Linked DNA regions of Oreochromis niloticus. The protein of the gene in region 1 purifies or fractionates together with the protein of each later gene. This does not show direct contact. Links are inferred from orthologs where the notes say so. Each region holds a gene or a part of one and is shown in the gene's direction. Other genes may lie near its edges. The genes, in order: slc6a15, klhl36 and golga5.

Region 1 (7,656 bases):
TTGTTCATTAGGGTTTTTTATTGTAACAAAAGTTTTTTGGTTTTTTGTTTTCTTTTGGGTTTTTTATCTGAACCATGATGCTTCCACTTGCTTCATCATCATACATCATATTATGAAGGAGGAGCCAATGACTAGTTTGGCCAGTAACAAGGTAAATGATCTCACAGTGACTAGTTACTGGTTGTTGGCCTATGTTCAAAACTTCTTAAAGAGGCAATGATCTGAAATACAAGGAAATTCAAGGAGAAATTAGAAGGATCTGCAAAAGATACACAGCTATGTGATTATCATGAGTCGTAAAGTTGATGGCTGCTGGTCATGGCCAGCCTATAGGTAACAAGACCACTAAACTTCCTGTAAACCATCAACGTGTCTTTTAGACCCCATTCCTACATGACTGCTCAAAGAAGTCCTGCCATTAATTAATGCTTCAATCTTAAATATGATCACCCTATCTCTAATAATTGGCTATGTGTCACAGGCATTCCAGCTGGCAGTAGTTAAACCTTTACTTAAAAAGCCATCCCTAGACCCAGTGATCTTAGTTAATTATAAGCCAGTCTCCAACCTTCCTTTCATATCAAAAATCCTTGAAAGAGTAGTTGTCAAACAGCTAACAGGTCATCTGCAGAGGAATGGCTTATTTGAAGAGTTTCAGTCAGGTTTCAGAGCTCATCACAGCACAGAAACAGCTCTAGTGAAGGTTACAAATGATCTTCTTATGGCCTCTGACAGTGGACTCATCTCTGTGCTTGTTCTGCTAGACCTGCAGCATTCGATACTGTCGACTATAATATCCTTTTAGAACGATTAGAGCATACTGTAGGTACTACAGGTACTCCGCTGCAGTGTGATAGATATTGTATTATAGTTATAGATATTGTATCATATCTATCTAATAGACTCCAATTTGTTCATGTAAATGGAGACTCTTCTTCACACACTAAGGTTAATTTTGGAGTTCCACAGGGTTCAGTGTTAGGACAAATTCTGTTTACATTATACATGCTTCCCTTAGGCAGTATCATTAGATTGCATAGCATACATTTTCACTGCTATGCAGGTGACACCAAACTCTATCTATGAAGCCAGATAACACGCACCAATTAATTAAACTGCAGGAATGTCTTAAAGACATAAAGACCTGGATGGCTGCTACTTTCTGCTTCTAAATTCAGATAAAACTGAGGTTATTGTACTCAGCCCTGAAAATCTTAGAAATATGGTATCTAAGCAGATTCCTACTCTGGATGGCATTACCTTGGCCTCCAGTAACACTGTGAGGAATCTTGGAGTCATTTTTGACCAGGATATGTCCTTCAATGCACATATTAAACAAATAGGACCGTGACTGCTTACTTGTTGTTGCTAGGGTATTTAAAAGTAGAATGGGAGGAACAGCCTTCAGTTTTTAGGCTGCTCTTCTGTAGAACCAGCTTCCCGTTTAGATTCAGGAGACAGACACAATCTCTACTTTTAAGATTAGACTTAAAACTTTCATTTTTGCTAAAGCATATAGTTAGGGCTGGATCAGGTGACCCTGAATCCTCCCTTAGTTATGCTGCAATAGGTGTAGGCTGCTGGGGGATTCCCATGATGCATTGAGTGTTTCTTCTTCAGTCACCTTTCTCACTCACTATGTGTTAATAGATCTCTATGCACTGAATCATACTTGTTATTAATCTCTGGCTCTCTTCCACAGCATGTCTTCTATTCTGTCTTCCTTCTCTCACCCCAACCTGTCACGGCAGATGACCGCCCCTCCCTGAGCCTGGTTCTGATGGAGGTTTCTTCTGGTTAAAAGGGAGTTTTTCCTTCCCACTGTCGCCAAAGTGCTTACTCATAGGGGGTCATTTGATTGTTAGGTTTTTCTCTGTATGTATTATTGTGGGGTCTACCTTACAATATGAAGCGCCTCGAGGCGATTGTTGTTGTGATTCGGCACTGTATAAATAACACTGAATTGAATTGAATTGAACTGAATTCAATTTAGAGTTCTTCCTTTTACTCAGCACACAAATCATCATCATCATCTTTGGATCTGTAGACTGAGCAGCCAACTGTTTCCAATCCCTGAAGCTACATTTGCTATTCCATTGAATAGTGTTTATACAGTAATCATCAAGAACCAGTGCAATCCTCTGCTGTTACTGGCTCTTCTTTTCACTTTATGACTTACCTAACTAGAAAAAACTGAATCAGTGACATTATAACACATAATACCACAAATCCACTGCACCCAATCCCCAAGAGGTTAACCCAGAGTTATCAGCTCTGTTAATCAGCCTCAGCTGCTAGTTCTTTGTATTCTGTTTAATTTGTCAAGTGTGTCATCAGTTTCTGTACTGAAGGGACAGCTGCTTTGTACAGAACCAGTAGCAGGGGTCTCAGTTCTTTGAAAGGAGGATGATAGCTTCCGCTGTTGCACTAACCATCAAACCAAGTTCCCCCTTTTATTGTGGAACAAAGTTTATCTTCATGTAAGTATGTACTTTTTTGTGTTTTTTAACAGTGTAAAGACTCAAATCAAAGGTATCATAAGACCTTAACAATTTTGAAAGCTTGCACAAAAACCTATTGTTGGGTCTGTTCCCACAAACCCCGCTAATTCTAGAGACTTATTCATCATGAATGAAAACAAGACAGTCAGCGATCGATCGATTACTTGCGCAAGGGAGGCCTCCTCTATGTCCAGCATGGAAATGACCCCAAATCCAGCCTCCTCTCGCTGCCTTTTATTGAGAGACAGTTCACACAAAACACAGCAAAGCAACGCCCACATGGTTCTAAGGCATTGTATGTATATGTGTGTGAACCTTTATATGTAAGTAGGAATGTGTGTGTGTGTGTGTGTATGTGTGTGAGACCTCCTGCTGACCAAAGGGTCGTAAAAGCAGGAAGCTTACAACACAAGAAACAGATCTTTCAGATAGGATGTATCTACAATAAAACCCTCCCCCAACACAAAGTGGTTAGAGGTGCTCAGGATCAAAGGAATGGCTTTGATAATACTGCTTGAACTAAGACTGTACAAATTTAAGAAACACAATGGCAACATTCAACAATTGGACCTAACACCTATCTTCAAGACATCAATCAAAATAAATACAATCATCCTTTCAGTAGATGTATTTACATAGAAATTATGTTGCATTAGGTGGAATAAAGGCTTATTATCCAAAGCTGCGATTGTATGTCAGATGTCAAACAATATAGTTTAGCTGTTTAACTGGGTATTTTATCTCAATCTCTTATTTCAGTGAGCGGGCAATATCCTGTGCATTTTGTACAGCAAGGATGACAACCTGTATTTGTGTCAGAACTACAGAGATATGTAACTAAGGGGAGTGGTAAGAAGAGATGATAAGACTTGGACGACCAATGAATTGGACGTAATAGATTTGCATGAACATCAAATACACACATATTCTGCTTGGCAAAGGCTGTGACAACTACTGAGTTCTGTGATGATGCACCTGAAATACTGTGGGTGGATTTCACACTGGCCACCAGGGCAAGACAGGACATAAACGTGGGTAGTGTTTCCAAGTGCATGATTTTCTTCTCAGGGAATAGAACAACTTTAAAGAGAAAAAAGAAAGGAAAAAAACTAAGGCAATGGCTAACCTATCATCTCCGAGATAACGCCTGAATTTCAGGTTATGCAAGCTTAAACCTCGTATTTCCTCTTAGTCTCTGTAACTTCTCCTACATTCTGACAAGTTAATAATTGGTCTGAAATATTCTGCAAACAGTCAAAGTGAAAATCTTTAAGACCACATTTCAGAAAATGACATCTTGTGCCACCTCCGTGTAATATGAAAATAAATATGAGTGTCCAGATGACTGCCTTTATACCTGTTTTAGTCGTCATGCTTTTAGGTATGAAACTCAATTCACTTCATGGACGAAATACAGCTTAGTTTGATCTCAAGATTCCAATTTAAATATATATTGAATGGCTGATCCATACTACACCTTGAAATACATTTACTGTAGACCTAACTGGACCCATGACAGCAGGTGTTACTCCCTGTAATATAACATTCATTGATTTCATTCATTCAGATTGCTGAAATAATGGTATTATCTAAATATATCTTAAATAAAAAGCATGATAAAACAATATGTCTGTCTCGTCGCGGATATATGCAAATTTCATCGCACCACCCTGGGAGGTTGAAGTCGAGCGAAACGACGACCTTGAACCACAAACCTCGCTTTCTGCACGTCATGTCCCCTAAATTCAGTCTGTGTTTTTTTAAATAAATTGCAAAAAATTAAAAAAAAATACATATGCGATCCAAATACATATCCAGTCAGAGAAAATCCGCGTTTATAAACAGAGGCACATTGCTTTTTTATCCTTAAGCCAGCCCCTTTTCTACCGGATTAGTAGTAGTGGAGTGTACCAAGTGGCAAACGGGGGGAGGATGAGGGTACAAATATGCTTATTTCAACTAAATAGGGACGGTGTAAGCATGCGTGTCGTGCGGTGTGACATAGATATGTGATATAAACTATATAAAGTTAAATATTAAGTAAATAAAGAGTTGCCTACTGACGGTCACGAGCGAGTTGGAGGCGGAGAAACCCCCCTCCCCACCCAGTCCGTCCCCCTCCTTTCCTTTTTGAGCGGCGCTCGTCTCCGTAAGCCAGACAAGTGAAGCACAGGACACCGAAGCGGAGCGCAACACACCGGCTGAGACACAAATTGGTGATAATGTCTTCCCCGTGCATGTGCTCTCACAATTTCATTCCTTGAGACGAGTCATTTCAGAAGATTGCTATTCCGCGAAGGTGAGTACCATCCTCAGCATCTCCAGCAGGGATAAGCAGGCTGATGGTAAAGGCAAGGCGTGATACAGAGTATGGGTTGGATTGAGGTACCCTGGTGTGGATGACCGGTGAATGATGAAACACTCCTCAGAGATGACATGACGGCTGTGAGCGGGAGGGAGGAAATGAATGAACGAGGACAAACCCCACATAGCACTAGTGAGACCGGTTGGGTTAATAATAAATGTTTTTTTTATTTTTTTAATCTATTGCTTCATCCGCTTTGGTATGTCATGTTAACACAACAGGCCGAGCCATGTGCAAAAAAGATACTACAGAATGAGTCATTCTCCTCCTAGACGCACTCATATGTTTAATATTTGTAATAAGTGCTCCGCTATTAAACGATTAATAATAACCGAGGCGAGGCTTGCGCAGCATCATGGCTCGGTTTTGGACGCCGCGTTGTGTTCACTGCATTATGAAACGATGGCCTTTGCCTCATTCAAACCAGGCTAATCTGGAAGCGCTGAAAGAAATCTATTAATCTCTTAATCCTCTGTGTGGTGAAAGGCGGGAGACACGCAGTGCTTCGTGGTCGCAACGCCCCTCGTCGTGCCGGGGATATTTTTTGCGCCTCTGACAGTTTAAATGAAAATGTTCGAGGATGGATTTGAGCTTGATGTGAAGCCTCCCTGAAAGGATGCTCACATTTAGGAATCAAGGATGCTGCGCACCTTAATCAGCCTTTAGGTTGATGGCACACCCTTGATTCTCTTCCAGTGCTGCCGGTACTAAGCGTCATTAAATGTTAATGCACCGTGATTAAGCTCTTTTATAGAAGAGAAAAGTGTAATTTGGGAAGTTCATATGCTTTTATATTTGAGGGCTTTCCCCATCAGGTAAAAGTAGGGAATGTTTGGGTTTGTATGCAAATCGCTTTGCCTGTTCAATTATTCAGGGGGCTTGAAACGGGATAGCCTCTGTATCTCAGTGTGTCACTGTCCTAGGCAGCGTGCTCAACCAGCCAAATGCTCCAGGCCCAGTTTTTTGTTTTTTTGTTTTTTGTTTTTTTGTCCAGAACAAGCACTGAGAATAAAATCCCATTCACTGATTTTGGTGCCCTTTCCAGTCATGTGAAATCCATGTGAGTGTTGCATCAGCATCCCTCAGATGGAGAAGTAATTCTCCCTACGGTGTAAATTCAAGTAAGATGCTGAGGGATAAGGAGTAAGGTTAAAAAAGTAGTTTATTTCTTGTGAAATATATACATGGAGTCAGACTGAAATCAAATCACCCAAAGGTAAACCAAATAAAGGTTTACCTTTGGGTTTAGTTAGTTTAATAAGTTCATTTCTTGTCATCTCTTGTCAAAGTTATTTTAGTATTTTAGGAAGGAAATAAGTACCTGAAACTATGTAAAAAATAAACACAGGTTTTCACTTTCATTGGCTGTTTACCCTTTGCTGTGTTTCTATCTCTCCCTCGCAGATATATGGTGATAATGAGGAAATAAACCTCTACAAACTTTGTAAAAGCCCGCTGGCCATTGAACCCAGAATACTTTCAAACTTGTGCCATTGCGCAGAGTTCTTTTCACACGCCGGCTCTGTCCCACCAGCCCGCCAGCCAAGAAGACGTTCCACACTTTCGCCCTTGTTTGCTTTATCAAATGCCCAAAAACAGCAAGGCCGTCAAGAGAGAGCTTGACGACGATGTCACAGAGTCTGTCAGAGACCTGCTTTCCAACGAGGACGCCTGTGATGATTCCTTCAAGAAGAGCTCGCTGATCGTCAACAACCATGAAGGCGAAGGGAAAGAGTGCGATGTGGAGGAAGGGGGGTCAGATGCCGAGGAGGAGGAACGACCGGCCTGGAACAGCAAGCTCCAGTACATCCTGGCCCAGGTTGGCTTCTCTGTAGGCCTGGGCAACGTCTGGAGATTCCCCTACCTGTGTCAGAAGAATGGAGGGGGTGAGTCTCAGCTAGCATCACACACACACACAGTAAGGGCGTATAACTGATGGGTAGCATCATGTTAAACATGATAACAAAAGGAACAAAGACCAAGACACAAGGGGACAAAAGGAGTTCCGTGTTAATTAAAAGCGATCGTAGATTCAGGATGTGATATTCTTGGGTGGAAGCCAAGTCTAGCATCTACATGTGCAAGTTTTTACAGAGGACAAAAAATGGCTAACGAAGACGTGTTTGATTTGATTGTTTTTTTATTCGTTTTTTTTTTTGTTTGTTTGTTTGTTCATCCTTACTGAGAAACCAGAAGTATCACCTTCCACTTTTAGCTTTTGTTTCTTTGCAGACACTCTGAATGGGCTTTAAATGGCGTCATGACTTCATGAAATTACCGTTTTATAGTGAAGGTGTTGTACTCTGTGTTTACCATGTGGGTGCAGGGTCACACATCAACATCTCTTCAGCATTAACGCGTTTGCTGACAGAAGGTGAAAGTTGATACCGCAGAACTCCTAAAATAGGCACCTTTGTTGAATGAATGTGGACAGTGTTCCCAGAATCATCAGCTCCGATCAGAACGTTGAAATTAACATCAGAACATTAAAACCTCTTCTCACGAGTAGTCTCAAAATGATGTGTCATCCATCAAAACTAGACTAGGCTGCGAGCTTCACCACAGACAGAATGTTAATATGACTGCCTTGTTACGTCTGTGATTTCATACACACAACCAAACACAGAACCTCTAACGCTGCTTTCAACATACAGGAAATAATTCTAAGAAGAGTGTGATGCTTCTGATTATAGTTTATGATAACCTCATTTCCTACAATGCGGTCTGCTCTACGTGATTGACTCCTTGCAGACCATTGTTGTGTTTCTAGTCTAACGTGTGTGTGTGTGT
Region 2 (7,991 bases), about 39 Mb from region 1:
CATTGATTGCGGTTACATTTTCTCAGAAGAAACTAGGATTAAAAAGTCTTAAACTACAAAAGAAATGAGGAACCAGATCTTGGCGAAACAATACCCCAGCATGCAGTATCTTCTTTTTTCACTTCCTGCTGCAGTATAAGTTTAAGATCAATATTCTACAAGAGTTGATCTAAACTCACTAAACTCAAGTCTGCGGCAGCTCCTCCCACACACACACACGCACGCACACACACGCACACGCACACACACGCATACGCAGAGGGGTTTTTTTTCTGCAGGTTACAACTTCACTGCTAAATAAGGCAAACGAGCCCACAGAGGGAGATGCGTGTGTCATCACTGAACAGGAACCAATAGCGAACGCAGCAGCTGAGCGGTTACATGTAAAGCACTGTTGTAAAGGAGTGATTTCAACATAGGAATGTGAGCTCTAGACATCAGGAAGCAGAGAGACACAGGAGGCCCTGAGGCTTTAAAGACAAAAAGAGCTTGCATTAGCAGTTGCCACACCCATCATCTGAGCAGATGCTTCACTCTCTCTAAAGGGGAACTTCACCGGAGTGAGATAGGTTTTTTTGAAATCTATACATAAAAGGTTTGCACACTGCAAGTCATTACACTACAGCAGCTTATGGGAGTTTGTGCTTTGGGAGAAGCTTGGAGGCTCTCTTGTTAGAGGCAGGTGAAATATTAATGAATGTCAGATCGTTGAAGGAGTAAAGCTAAAAGTTCACATATTTCCACTGTAGTTTGCACCAATAGTCAAATGTAGGCCACCCTGTAGTAAAAAAACTTGAGATATTGTGAAAAAGATTATGCAATGCAGTGAACACACAGCTAAGTGCTCTGACAGCCTAGTCACAGGCTCAAGGCTCATTGGGTGATGGAGCACAGAGTCTTAAAAGATTAGTGTCCCGCCAAGTCAAGCTGCCTGATATATAGGCTGTTTTACAAAATCTACAGCAGCCAGCTACACAGCTACAGCCCTGCGTTTAAAACTGATTCAGTCTTACCTGTGCACATACTCTTGAAGTCCTCATAGTCGGTCCCTTGTCCTCCAGGCACGATGATGTTGTTCTCATATTTAAACACAGCCCTGGAAGGAGCACAGTGGGCCAATTACTGCAGGATCACATGAGTTCGCATAATGCACACACACAACAACGACAACCATTGCAGAAAAATGCCTGAGACGCCCATGGAAGGTGGCAGCTGTGTATCAGCCATCTGCAAGTGTCACCACTATAACATTTTCCCCGTTGAATACAGGACAAAGGAAATTACTTATGCCCCGCCGGGCCTGATAACAGTGCGCTGTGTGACCGCTGAACAGTCAGAATACAGATCAGCCACATCCGAGGGACAGGACAGCGAACGCTGCGTGTATTTTGGCCAGTTTTTCTACAAGAAACAGTCCGCAATGTGCTGTTCTAGCGCATTTTCGCAATGAGCAGGCGTAACTGCATAGGATCACAGAGCAATTTAAAGTTCTGGTGCAGAAGTGCAGAAGTAAACGCCACCAATCATACAGCTGACGACATTTTATTAGCATTTTTTAGTTAGTTTTCTATTCGGCATGTATCCGCTTATTCAAACGACGCTTATTTAAACACAATGTGAACTTTTTCAAAAGCAAGTCCGTCTCTTCATGTTGCGCTCTTCCTCATTGAAAAGACGGAACAGTGGGCGGTAACAGACAGAGTGAAATACATTTTTAACTAACACCACATCAAATATATACTCTGTTTGGTGTTTTATTGGTCGCCGAAGTAGATGGCGGCTAGAATACCACCAGACAGGTGCAGGGTTATGTGCGTGTGTCATTCATTTTCGGTAATTTTAGCGTTAATATAAAACCGTCACAATCTTCAATGGAGTATGGGTTAGTAACCGTGCTCGCACACTCACCAATTGATGTCAGTGTTATCGTCCCTCACTTGGTTGTAAGCCTCTCTGCAAGCCTCTTTATCGATCTGGGTTGCCATTTTTCGGATGGAGAAGTGTCAGGCAGGCAAAATAAGCGTTGAATGGGTCTGAACCAGGGAGGGCCAGCTACACGGTACTAAAGCGGCTAACTTGCACAGTGGATGCTACACATCAGAGACCTAGAACCGATAGCGTGACAAGCGGGCTTCAGTCGGAAATCACGACCACTGCACTGGAACGATCGAACCGGTCAGATTCAGCGGGAAAAGACGGCTGTTCTTCTAGCAGCTCGGTTCATTTCCTGTATGTTACCACTTTATGGGCGTGGGTGATGTTAGTCAATCAGGTTGCCAGCAGACAGACAGAGAAGCTCCCCCAGACGCTGTGTTCACCTCCTCCTGGTCAATGAGCGTTTAGCAAAAGAAGCGCTGTCAAGGCAACCGCGACAGGCAGCGACAATTTCCGGAAGAGATTTTCTAAATAAAATCAAAGGCAGCAAGTTCTCAAAAGTGACTTGAAACCAAATTTAGCCATTTCACATTTTGTATTACCATGAAATGTTATTATTATAAATAATAATATTATTATAGATTTCTATTAGTAATCACTATAGGTAAAACGTCCTTTTTTGTGGACATAGTTCCACAAGAGATTTTCTTTGAATTAACAGAAACTTTCTGTTTCTATAATTCTGTATATTTCAGGATCACGTGGGCAGTAATCCTGGTTCTGCGTGTGTGAGCCTGGTTGTGCTGAAGATTTCTTCCTGTTAAAGTGAGGGAATAAATAAATATTAATTCTCTTTCTCTCATTCTAATATTACACATTATATATCTTTTAGGGATTTGATTCCAGATTGACATTTCTTATTTAATTGCTCTTACAGTGAATGATTATTTTTATTGGCTCTGTTTATCAACACTGACAACCAAAGTGCTGAAGAAACATGAAAAAAGTAGCAGTGTATCAAAAATGATTCAGTAGAATAAAAATAACTTTCACAAAGGAAAAGGTGTAAAAATGGAAGCTGTATACAATAACATGAAAATGAGAGCAACTGTTTTGCTTTTGTTTGGCATTTGCTCATTTTTATTTTAAATAGATACTTTTATTCTTAAGTTAAAACGATCAACTTCCGGTCTTTCTCTTATCTACCACCGCAACTTTACACAGCAGAGTGCAGATGAATTAATTTGAGGAACAGGTACTAGTCTGACACAAAGCCACTGGTCATTACACTCACATAACTTACACCGTGAACCTAGGAGCTGGGCTTAAAACATTAAATCCACTGATCAAATAGAAGGCTAGCTAGAGGTCAAAGGTCATCTCCGTCCTCTTGCCAGTATCTACTCTTTGACACTGGCATAAGCCCAACTGAGCTGTGTACCTCCTGGTTTGTTTGTGCCTGCATCATCCTGCCACCTGCTGGTCGACCTGCAGTCGGTCACAAGCTTTCATCAATCTTTCCTGCAAACTTAGACTCAGCGGTCAGCAATAACCACACGGTCCAATGTTAGACTGCAGGAGGGGGGTTGGTTATGTCTTCTGTCTCTCCAGCTTCATCTCCATCTGTCTGTCTCACAGTCTGCACTTGCTGTTACATGCAGGCTGCAGAATATTTCTAACATTTTGAGTTATTTTCCAGTGTTCAGAAAAATCAGCACTGCTCAGTTTTATTCATTGTAAATCTTGAAAACTGACTAGGTTACTTTTAAAAATACAACACTGTCAAAAGTGTTCATTTAACACTCAACAGTGTGGACACATATAGACACTCTGTAGTGTTAATTTAACACTGGAGATTTTGCTGTGTAGGAAGATAGAGTTTGCATCTAGAAACATTATTGCACAAGGAACACTGCTGCCATGATGGGAGTTACTGCATCACAGTAATCGCCACACAGAAGCCAGGAGCCAACTTTCTGAGCCGAACATTCCCCACAGCATCGCACTTCATCCACCTGTTCATGTTCCTCCCATATGGCACCCTGATCCTACCTGGTCTCCAGTTAGCTGATGTGCAGTCAACTCTATGATGTAAAAGATCATCACAACAGGAAAAATTGCTCCATGTTTTAACTGTGTACCAAACATATTCAGAATAAATATATTATGCATAAAAATAAATGAATAAAAATAAATGATCTTATCATGTCTTTTATCAATAGCTTCCTTTCTCTGTTCAACTCATTTTCCATGAACGGGACAAACTTTATTTGATAAATTTAGGAGGCAGGGTAAACCCTGGACAGGTCACCAGTGTGCTGCACTCAGACATTCATGCCCACATTGTTTAACTAATATTGTTTTCTTTCAGATTATTAATCGAGGTTAACTGTGTCATAAAACGGTGTCATTGTGACAGTCCTGCCACCCGATAGGCTTCCGTTTATCTCTTTAATATATTCATTCATTCATTCATTTAGCAGCTGTTTATCTACAGTACCGCGCAAAAGTCTTGAACCACCTCCTTTTGTTTCAAAGGAGCTATACTTGTAATATTTTTGAAAGGGGATCTTTAGGAACGTGTTTCCTTTCTTTCTATTTCCCGATATGCTCGTATAACGTAGAGAAAAGACGGGTGGCGCCAGACTTTTGCACAGTACCGTTTGGCGTTGTCACTCAATGGGCTTCATAAAGTGTTGATGTAAATAACAACATCCGGCCGAAAGTCGTTGACTTCAAAATAAAACAAAATTTTGAACATTGAGTATGGCTTTTAGTCTTGTCTGGTAAATCGAACTAACTACTACTACTACTACTGCTATTATTATTATTATTATTATTATTATCATTGTTATTATTATTATTATCATCATCATCATTTGATGCAGGTCCAAAAGTTTCCAAAGATTTCAAGATCTCTTCAGCTTCTCAGAGACCTCTGGTTTTTGAATACACAAAATAAGTACATATTTTCCTTCCAACAAAAATTAGCAAATATTCATAAATATATATTTTCTATTTATCTGTAAGCTCATAGCTTGTAACCGCAAACCACCAATAAATAAATACCACCAAATGGTTTATTCTGAAAAGTCAAACCGGAAGTTCAGTTGATGTTTAACCTGCGGCTAAGCTATGTCCCTCTGGCTGCCTGCTCCAGCTGTTTTTGTGGTCCAATACAGCATGTGTCACCGGCAATAAGTCTCTGTAAGAAGACGGTGGGCGAAGAGCGGCGTTTGAAGCATTTTTATTGTTTCCTGGATAAAATGCGGCAGTTTGTTCTTCGGCTGTCCTGCGGGACCCATAGATGCTGCTGCTGACGGAATAACAGAGGAGCCAGCCGCCTTCTGACCCGCCTCAGGTCCGCGTGTAAGCGCTGCTGTCAGTGGCTCTGAGGCAGTGACACGGCTTCTCGTCTGGGCTTTTCAGCTGTATGTATCTCATCTCGCTAAAGGCCTGAAAGCCGCGGCTCTAGCTTGTCTCCACTTCCTGTGTTTAGGAAGGGCCGTGAACCCTCAACTGAGTGTAGTTCATAATATCTGTGATCTAAAGCATCAGAGCTCCTATTTCAAATGAGACTCAGACTCCAGCGTGCTCGTTCAGCTCTCACATCAAACACCAAAGACTTGTTCATCTCATGAACTGTTACAGGTCCTGTACCAACATGATTATTGAGCGTGTTCCAGACACATAGTAAAACTAAAAGCAGCCACCCCCACACGCTTATGAACGAAATTCTTTATTACTGGGCAATAAATCAAACATCAGTGTCAAAGCTGAATGGAATATCCTCAGATCTCTTGTTTTGTTTGGCTTATAACTCCAAAGAGAACATTTCTTCCAGTTTTCCTTGAAAATAACTGAATCAGTTAATCAATCTGATGCATTATTTGAGTAACTTATTAATTAGTTAATAGTTGCAAGAATTACAGTAAAACGTGTGTGTGTGTGTGTGTGTGCTTTAGATGATGCCTTCCTGGGGGGATGTAATGGACAAATTGAGCCGAGTGTGTCGACCCCAGCTGATTAGCGAATCGTCTAAGGTCAGTGTTGTTATTGTTAAAAATTAATTTCATGGTCTGTAAAGTAGCTTCAGGTTAATCGACTAATAGTTGTAGACAGTTGTCTATCCAAAGTGCAGAGGATCTGGGGACTGTTTTCATCCCTCTGGTAAGTTGAGAAGTCAGCTCATTTCTAGCCTGAGAGACAAAATCAGACGATGGAAACCTCAGCAGATCTCTCTCTACTGCTTGTACAGTATAAACACTGCGAGTGCCAAGAAACTTCCATCTGAAGTTTGGCAGCAGTTGGCTTTATCTGGGGTGTGAATAAGGAGGAATGTGCAAAAGTAAGCAGGCAAAAAGAAGAAGAAAGGCAGCCTGGTTCTTTTCAACAAGGTTTCTGAGGAGGCTCCTGGGAGCAGGCGCTGATTTTGCTGTTTTTTGTCGGCGACACAGCCGTTTGGAGTAAAGAGTTGTGATCAGGGTGATGTTGTGCTGTGTTTGCAGGTTTTCCGCTGGGTGGATCATGCCGCTGAACTGCTGCAGGGCCTCGACGAGCAGCGGCAGCACGGCCAGTTCTGCGACGTGGTCCTCGTGGCTGAAGACGAGCGCGTCCCCGCTCACCGAGCCCTGCTGGCGGTCTCCAGCCCGTATTTCAATGCTATGTTTACTTTGGGCATGAAGGAGGAGCACCAGCAGGAGGTATGCAGGCGACGCTGTGAAAAAAAGCTTTCAGATGTTTCATGGATGCTTCAGGAAATTAGCTTATGTATGTACATAAAATAATATATTAAAAAGTCAGATTAAAAACAATGTGGATCATTTGTGGGAGCCTTTGTTTCTATCTTGGTTGTACTGAAGTTGTAAATGGAATAAAGTACACACGTGTTCTTCCTGTCTGCAGGTGGAGCTGGTCGGGATGTCCTTCATGGGTCTGAAGGCTGTGGTGGACTTCCTGTACAGCGGCGAGCTGCCACTGGACGGAGGAAACATTGACTATGTGCTGGAAGCTGCTCACCTCCTGCAGGTAAGAAACCAGCGAGCTGTTAGGTTTAACCATGCAGGCCAAGCGGCAGCTTCTGGGGCTGATGAGGGAAAGGGCCAAAAACTGCAGTTCCTATGATGGCCACTTGGGGCTGACCCTAAAAGTGAGTCAATCTCAGTAAACTCCCATATTAAAAATAGTTTACAGCCTGGTACAAAAAATGGTCTCCACGAGTAGTTTTCTCTTCATGAAAAATATACAGTAGGTGATTTTTGTTATAGCTCATCAGTTTAGATACTGTTAAGGCTTAAAGTTAGAGGGGTGACCTGTTTGACTGAACTTCTCCTTTTGGAGCATTTAAACTAAATTATCAGGAAAATAATATGTCTAAGAATTTCTGTGTTTGTAGTGCGAGAGGTTTAATCACCTGTTAAAATCACCTGTTTAACTGTTAAGAATCAATTGTTGGTGATAATTAATGTTACCTATAAAAACTCGTGCATTGTTCAGGTGTGGCGAGCGGTGGATTTCTGCTGCCAGTTCCTGGAGACGGAGGTGAGCGAGGACAACTACCTGTACCTGCAGGAGCTGGCGCTGCTCTACAGCCTGGAGCGACTCAGCGCCTTCATCGACCACTTCATCCTCAAACATTTCACCACACTCTCTTTCACCCCGGACTTCCTGCGCAACATTCCTTTCCACAAACTCAACTCCTACCTCTCCAGTGGCCAGGTGAGACGAGTTCTCACCACGGCTCAGCAGACGAGCTGAAATCAAAAGCACGGTTAGCATTCTGAGAGCCCCTTTCTTCATCGCCAGGTTCAGCACGACAGCGAGCAGGCGCTTCTCCAGGCCTCGCTGCAGTGGCTCAGCCAGACGCCCGAGCGGACCTCCCACGCCAGGCAGCTCCTCTCCCACATCCGATTCTCTCTGATCCCGGTGGCAGACCTCATGAGCAGGGTGCTTCCGGACGTGCGAGCTCTGCTGCCCGAGGAGGCCGGCTGTGAGGCCCTGGTGGAGGAGGCGCTGGCGTACCACGCCAGGACCAGCGTTCAGCCACTCCTGCAAACTGGACGCACCACAGTGAGGGGGGGAGTGGAGAGACTGCTGCTCATTGGAGGAGAGGTACA
Region 3 (7,918 bases), on another chromosome or scaffold:
ATAAAACAGATATCCAAAGTTACTGAATTAAAATACACAGTTTAAAACACTGGTTTCTTTAAATAAAGTTATTAACTACAGAAAAACAGCTAAATTGTGTTTTGTTGGTAGCCCCTTTATCATTACTCTGTAATGATCTTAAACTGTTCTTTTGTCACCCAGTTACATTAATCAGAGGAACAGAAGCTGGAACATTGTTGAATCTGAAAAAGCTCTTGTGGTAAGTGTTCACCTTCTTCAGCAGCACCATATACAGCCATCACAACCTCAGATGAGTTAAAAAAGAAAGATATATTACATAATGTAATTATTTATCAAAAATTAAGCCATTGTGTTTTGGAAAAAACACACCCTTACTGCTTCCATAAGCATTAAGAGACTAAGTCGCTACCAATCAAATGTGCTGCTATTTAAATAGAATTGATTGAAGAAACTAGGAATTCATAACTTTATGCTAAAATATTGACAGCATAACACCATATGAATAGATCTATGGATAGGAAAACCTTCAATGATGCAAGCATCGGGAATATAAAAGAAGAGTTTCATCTCTATAAAGTCTGTTTTTGCAGCATTTTATCAAAAATGGTACATTTATAATCTTCCTCAAAGTGCTTCCTCATGTCAGGTGTTTTCTTAATCTGGTGCTGCTTTACTGTGACCATGTTCAGTATCACTGTGGTTCACTTCAGCCAACTCCCAGCCTAAGAGTTTTATACTAACCTTAGCACCTGTATGTCCAAGATGACCTGCAGAGGCTTAAAACCATCACGTCCTATTGCATGTGTAGTAAAAACAACATACCTATGAATTTTAATGCAGCTTTCATGATTATACATCCCTTCATGGTGCAGGTTTCTACATACTAATATTTAGTTTATTTATTTGTATATTATTAATTATTTTCCAACAGGCTGAAGGACAAAATGCCAAAAACCAACAAATGGATCCTTTCACACGAAGACAGTGCAAACCCACCATGGTGTCTAATGTAAGTGTTCTATAATAAATTTATCAGATTGGATATTTGTACTTGTTTAAACACACTGAAATAACACATGCCTCATTTTCACAAACACAATACCTGAATAATGAAATTGACAGTTTAAATTACTGAACTGCTATAAATAAGACTGAAGACATGCTTAATTATGTGCATACAGCATAACAGCAGTCGAAAATGCCCCTAAACTACCACTACTTCTACTTCTGTTGATCTGATCTGTCACTGTGATTCTTTTCATTTGGCAGGCCAGAGATCCGTCAGTCCACGCAGCTATTCTTGCTCACCTAAACCAGAAATATGGCTCTGGTTCAACACCAGACAATTCAAGTCCAGAGAAGAACAAACTGGTAAGCAGGACCCTCCCTGATAGCTCATAATGTAGATACTGATAAGTAGAAATGATGCCAAAATTGATGTTAAAGTTTGCACACACTGATGGACAGAGCCAAAGATATTTTGAGATAAACTCAACTTTTTGAAAGAATAAACTGAGTTCAGCACTGTAGTTCTTTTTTGGTGAATACATGATTTATAAGCTTTCATAGTTAAAATAATGAAAACAAAACTATTATTTTAGAATATGGCAAAAATTTAGCAGAAAATAATTTCTTTTTCCGTTGAGATCTAATTAAAATAAGATTAGACTGGAAATGAGCACCAACCTGAATTGTAGCTCTTTATCCTGAAGAAATCTAACTTTCTCTCTTTTAGGGTCAAACAAACCAGAAAGACAAAGATGTCCCGAAGCCAACCACTGACCTCTCGGAAGACTTGTTTAAAGTTCACGACTTTGATGTAAAGATTGACCTACAGGTTCCCAATGCAGGTGAGACCCTTTTTTGGTACTGTTGAAGCTGTACGGCCTAGATGTTCTACTTACTTGGAGCACAAGGTGAATGCTAGTGTGTTTCACAGTGATATAGTGAAGTTGTGTAATTTTGCTCTTCGTCTGCAGAGGCGAAGTCTCTGTCTGTGAGCTCTAACGCGTTGCCAGTGAAGGACGGCGCTCCCCGCAGGTCGCTCAACCTGGAAGACTACAAGAAGAGGAGGGGGCTGATTTGATGTGGCAGCACCTCATCGAGAACCCACATTGCATGTGTAAGCGAGAGTTTGTGTGTGTGTCTGAGTGAAAGTGAGAGACTGGGTGTTTGTGTGTGTGAGCGAGAGAGAGAATGTGAATGACTCCTGAAGGATGTGTGTTCGAATGATGATAAAATAGACTGTTCATCCAACACAAAGGAAATACTGATTAAACGGAGACAACGTTTTTCTCAAAGGATCTTTCTCGGGAAGAAGAAAAAAGAAAACCTTGTCCAGATATGTTTGGGTTTTTTTTTTTGTTTTTTTTTGTTCCTTTTGCATTTACAGACAAACTTGTATACTGAGTTTGTTTGTGTGGTGGTTTTTTTTTTTGTTTTTTTTGGTTTTTTTTTTTAAATGTATTTAACTTCTCCTACTCTTCTGGATGTCTGGAGTCGACCCCCCCCTTTTTTTTTTTTTTTAATTTTTAAATTTTTTAATGTTTTTTTTTTAAATTTTCTTCAAGAGGACAAAGACAACATGGCACTTGTGGATTATTACCTTGAACAAGGAACCTGTCTTAGACAATTTAGGTTGCTTAGCCATTTTAAAGTCTATGGACATCTTCGGATTTGACCAGCTTGTTCTCATCAGTAATAAATTAAAATGGTCCATTTTCCCCCTCTGTATGTATGAACATCTGCACTTGCAGTTCCATCCTAAATTTCAACAGCATTGTGGTTATTTGCAGAGTTTACACTATCATCATCTCTGACTTAACCACAGTGTTGGCCCTTCATGACAAATGTAAAACGTTCAGTACAGGTCAGCTGGACATCTGTCACTTTTTAATCAACCTAAATAAAGAGGAACTCTTTTGTATGGCCGACCTTATTCTAAGTGTTGCTTCATTTTTAGTTTCCCTCGGTTGGTTGTTCATGGGATAGCTCCCATGCCCTGAACTCCCAGAGCAGATTCTATGTGTTATCGATTGTGTCCATAGTCAGTTCCTGTTTTGATGTGGCATGCCATGTAAATATGCATTTTTGAGTGAGTGCGGAAAAAAATAAAGGGGCACTGTTTCATAACTTCTGTGTCATTTTGTCTGTCTTCTGTATGGACTACAGATGAGGGCAAATGGATATACAAAGTTAGAACAATGTTTCCAAGTTTCAGAAACTGGAGTTAGAAGTAATCATCAAGAAATTTAAAGAGAACCTCACAGTACAGAACAAGCTCAGCAGAGGTAAGAAGAGAGAGATTTCAAAACTAGTGAGAGTTGTGTCTGAAGACGACTGCAAAGACATGAGCAAATGAATTGTGCCCTCAAAGAAGACAATCTCATTCGATTCTATGCTAGTGCCCCACTCAAAAGTAAGAAGGCAATTAACTGACAAGTGTTATTCACCATTGAATGGCAGCTCAGCAACACTAAATGCCCCCCCCCAAAAAAAAACCCCAAAAACAAAAAACAAGACAGCTAAGGGGTATGACGAAAGAATTACTTCCATGGTTAAGAATAACTTCACAACATCTAGCCAAGTTGAGAACACTCTCAAGGAGGCAGGCATATCATTATCAAAGTCTGCATTTAGGAGATGCCTACAGAAGGTTTACAACAAGGTGCAAAACATTGATTACACTCAGGAATAAGAAGGACAGATTGGAGTTAGCCAGAAAACCCTGAAGTGTGCAGTCCTGAGAAAAAAATCTTTGAACAGATGAAACCAAGAGGAACTTGTACCTGAATGATGGGGGAGAAAAGTATGGAGAAGCACAGAAATAGCTGAAGCATACCATATCATCCAATGTAATGGAAATAATATTACACCATATGCCTGTGTGGCTGTCAGTGGAACCGGGTCACTAGTGTTTACTGATGATGTAACTGCTTATAGAAGTAGCAGGATGAAATGTACATTCTACAAGCCTATATACTCTGCTTACATTCAGTCACATACTCCAAAACTGATTGAACAGTCCTTCATAGTGCAAATGGATAATGACCCAAAGGGACTCTCCACCAATTGCTCTTAGAACTGAAGAAGTGTCTCAGATGAGAGGTGAAATGTCTTCAAGAAACATAAAGAAGTCCAGAGGCTTTTCTTTCCAAGCTCCTTAGACTGCTATGAACTGGATGACTGAGAACCTTCACAGACAACCAAGAATACAGCAAAAAAATAAATAAATAAAAAACTGAATACGGAAAGAGTCACAAGCACTGGATGGTGACAGTAGTAAAGGGTTAGCAGATAATCTACTTGATAACGTCCATGGGTTCTATAATTAAGGTTATTGACTATAGTGGACTAAAACAAACAAACAAACAAACAAGCAATTGTGTTTTAATATCTTAAATACTTTTGGTCCTCTGAAAATGAGGTACAATGTACAAAAATGCTAAAACAATTAGTAAACCCCTTAAATTAAAACTGAAAGTCTATACTACAATCATATCTTGATTGTCGGAACAAAATAAAGTACTCTGGCCTTAGTCTGTAATGTATCTTTTACTTTATATTAGTTTCCCCAGTGTTTAGCTTCATTTGTTTCAAACGGCAAGCTTTTATCCAAAGATGAGAACTTTATACGTGTTTATACGAATATTAATTAAAATAGGATCATACTTAAACTTAAAAAAACAAAACAAAACTATGTTTAATTTCCTTTAAAAAAAAGTAAATAACTTACCAGTTGTTCAGGTCTTCTTCTTCGCCTCCTTCTTCTTATACACATATATATATCTATATCTATATATATATATGTATATATATATATAAACATTTATTTTTACTAACAGTAAAAGTAAAGTAAACAGTAAAGTCCTTAACAGAGGTGAGTGCTGCGCTTTGGGAACCCCGTTAATTTTCGATCAGGCTTTTCCCAAGGCGCTCTGTTGTCGGGTCCTTATTTGCAGCGCTTCCTGGTCCACGTATTGAGAGGATCATCAACATCCTCCTTGACAGATGATGATATTTGACTTTGTTTTCCAAGCAGTTTTACTCTTTCACTCTGATCTGTTTAACCTCGGCGGCAGTCAGGTGACTGGAGACACCCTGAGACTGATACCTCTTGTCAAACGGTACGTTTAAATGTCTCCTTTAACAGCCAGCTAGCCTGTTAGCCGCAGCACTGATGGAGTTGATCCTGAACAACTGTGTTTACATCGTTTTACGATAACGTTAGAGTTAAAACATCTCCAATAACCCCCTTTGTTCATTTATGTTTAACAAAAAAAAGCGTGGTGTGGTTAAAAATAATAGCTGATTAAATTTCGCTGCTTAGTTTTTTGTTATAGCATGCTAGCTGTGCAGCATTTGTCGCAGGGAGAGTTTTAGTCCTGAGTCGAACTTGACAGGCTGCTCACAAAACTGGAAGAGTCCTAACTTTAACTGTCTACAATTTGTTGCTGCGATCCTGTTTATTTAATATGGATCGATTCGCAGTTTTGCTTCCCATCAAGCTCAGTCCTGTCTAGTTTCAAGGCCATCCTCAGAATCCATTTATTGCCACTGCGTTAGAAAATATAACGATTTTGCAAAGCAGCTGGCATATTTTAGTGTTACCAAATGTAGTTTCTCATCCATGACTGTTTTTCTTCAGAAACCTTATTAAGCAAATGCACCACTGAGCTGTCTTGTCTGCACCTGTTGTGTTGGCAGACCAGGTGAGGTTGTCAGCAATAAAGGTTCTGAGAAACCGTCTCTACAGAGCCTTTGTTGACAGCCCAGGGCAGGGTTTGCGCTGCTCTTCCTGAAGTCTACAGGAAGACATCAGAGAAGAATTATAGATCTAGTGAAGGAGGGCATACAGTGGTGTGATGTGACAGAGAAGACTGTTAGAGAAAGAGGCAGAAGATCTGCTGTGGTTACCTGGGCTGGTAGTAGCCACACCAGAAGTAGCTCTGTCATGCACAGGTACAGTTAGCCAGTGTATCCTGAGCTTTTGAAACTAAAGGCCTCATTGGATGATATCTCAGTGGTGATAATGATGAGGGGAGGTGAAATGCTATTTTACAGTTAAACTGCCTGTCTAGATTTAGCGTCTGTCATTGACATAGTGACCTTTACTCTCCTACTGACCTTCCTTATGTTGTTAAATAGAAATCCAAGAACTTGGAAAGTAAATAAATATATTATCTGTCAAGTAAATCTTTACATGTTGCTGTTTGTCTCTATCGCTAGGTTGCAAAATGTCTTGGTTTACTGACTTGGCTGGGAAAGCTGAAGACTTCCTGAATAAAGTGGACCAGGGAGCTGCTACTGCCCTGAGCAAAGGCCAGGAAAAATCATCCTCCTTTTCAATAGCCTATGGAGAAGAATCCACTGCTAAAACTGACTACAACTCTGCAGGGTACAAGACCAACCCACCTGTGACACATCATACCTATGCATCCTCTCATGATGCCCAGAGCTACATCTCTTCTGCAGCTGGCAACATCAAGAAATCTAATGCAACCGTGCTGGCTGGGTCTGCCAATGTGACCAGTACACCCTTGGGTTCTGGTAGCAGCGCTCCCAACACTAGCAAGACTTCATCTGGGTTTGTGAGACCCAAAAAGAGTGAGCAGAACGTGGACGATGACATGCTCTTCGATTTTCTTAATAGCTCTGAGCCTCAAGTCAGCAATCGGAGGGATTCAAGAAAGGAGCTTGTAAAAGTGGTAGAGGCCCAAAACCCAACATCTCCTGCTTCCACCACTTCTTATACCACCCCATCAGTCCCCTCCACACCCCCGTCCACCCGGGGTGTATCAAGAGCTTCAAGCATGAGCTCATTATCTGCTCACAGCATCAAAACAGAGGAGAACTCTGCTAAAGAGCAAGGCCAAGGTATGAGCAAAACCAGCAGAACACTGTGTGACTAATTAACAACACTCAAACATTTTATAAACAATCAACCTTATTCACAGGAGAAGAAAATTTCAGCTTACAGTTAAGACAGGTTTTTTTTTTAGCTTCTTCTTCACCTTTATTGGCACATCAATGCATTTTTGTCACATTACTTCTACTGAAAGGCTCTCATGACTATGAGAGAAAAATTATGTGCGGTTATGTGCATGCTGAATCCTGAGCATGCACATGAAAGCAGCCTTTGTTTAAATAAATCGGTGATAGGATGCACTAATTTGCAAATATTTAGAGAGTACAGTGAAAATGGAGTGAATAAACACATGAAAAGGAACTAATAATTGGTCACTTGGTAAGATAACAGTTATCTTCAAGAACATTCTGGTTTGTAATTACATATTGAAATAGTCAATTGCTTGAAGGGGTAAAATTATTTTACAAGAAAATAAAGGTCTATAAAGAAAGTGAATGAAAACCAGTGACTACTCTGCCACAGTCATAACTCAGCTTTTTTATATGAAACCCAGTAAAAACAAGAATCAATGTTTTTATTAGTAAATCTTTGGTTGAAGAGCTGAAATGAATTAAGAGGGTTTAAGAATTGAGTCAGAGGTGTACATACAGATCGTCTCCACAATTTCTCATAAGCTCTTGAGAACTTACTTGCTTTCAAAGCAAATTTTAGGTTACGTCGTTCTTTCAATTTAGAAAGACTTGCTGTTGGATTTCAGTGGCTGAGTAAAGAATATTATTATTAATACAGTACAGAACTGTAGCATGTGAATAAAGATGGATGGTATATTTTCTTATAGAGAGAGGGTGCAAGATTGTTAATATGAACCACATGGGACCTAATACTGAACCTTGTGGGGCTCCCTTTTAAAATGTTAAATTTACCACCTCCCAATAAAGAATTAACCCACTTAGTGTCCAAAACTTGACAGGGAACCTTAAAGTACAATGGTATGAAATAAGATAATTTTATATTAATGCTTTATTATACCAGTTTGTTGCTGTTTAGCAGTATAATATAAGAGCTACC

The links.
Region 2: the proteins of slc6a15 (region 1) and klhl36 purify together in Homo sapiens (co-immunoprecipitation; 3 studies listed by BioGRID and IntAct, counting the BioPlex papers as one, with this or other methods). This does not show direct contact. The link is inferred for Oreochromis niloticus from reciprocal best matches to the Homo sapiens genes SLC6A15 and KLHL36.
Region 3: the proteins of slc6a15 (region 1) and golga5 purify together in Homo sapiens (co-immunoprecipitation; 3 studies listed by BioGRID and IntAct, counting the BioPlex papers as one, with this or other methods). This does not show direct contact. The link is inferred for Oreochromis niloticus from reciprocal best matches to the Homo sapiens genes SLC6A15 and GOLGA5.

Annotation. Positions count from the first base shown.
Region 1 is NC_031972.2:42,242,896-42,250,551, forward strand, and holds the start of slc6a15 (sodium-dependent neutral amino acid transporter B(0)AT2), read left to right. Parts: upstream 1-4,642; 5' UTR 4,643-4,800; intron 4,801-6,270; 5' UTR 6,271-6,451; coding exon 6,452-6,752; intron 6,753-7,656.
Region 2 is NC_031972.2:2,805,760-2,813,750, reverse strand, and holds the start of klhl36 (kelch-like protein 36), read left to right. Parts: upstream 1-4,979; 5' UTR 4,980-5,236; exon of another isoform or gene 5,237-5,306; intron 5,307-5,840; coding exon 5,841-5,918; intron 5,919-6,383; coding exon 6,384-6,578; exon of another isoform or gene 6,579-6,612; coding exon of another isoform or gene 6,613-6,645; intron 6,646-6,780; coding exon 6,781-6,903; intron 6,904-7,371; coding exon 7,372-7,593; intron 7,594-7,680; coding exon 7,681-7,986; intron 7,987-7,991. Other genes in the region: cotl1 (coactosin-like protein), read right to left, coding at 1,014-1,096, 1,909-1,985.
Region 3 is NC_031983.2:22,101,700-22,109,617, reverse strand, and holds the start of golga5 (golgin subfamily A member 5), read left to right. Parts: upstream 1-4,916; 5' UTR 4,917-5,108; intron 5,109-6,210; 5' UTR 6,211-6,218; coding exon 6,219-6,858; intron 6,859-7,918. Other genes in the region: RNA polymerase-associated protein RTF1 homolog, read left to right, coding at 163-220, 914-991, 1,252-1,353, 1,718-1,832, 1,962-2,068. UniProt on the Homo sapiens protein: Involved in maintaining Golgi structure. Stimulates the formation of Golgi stacks and ribbons. Involved in intra-Golgi retrograde transport.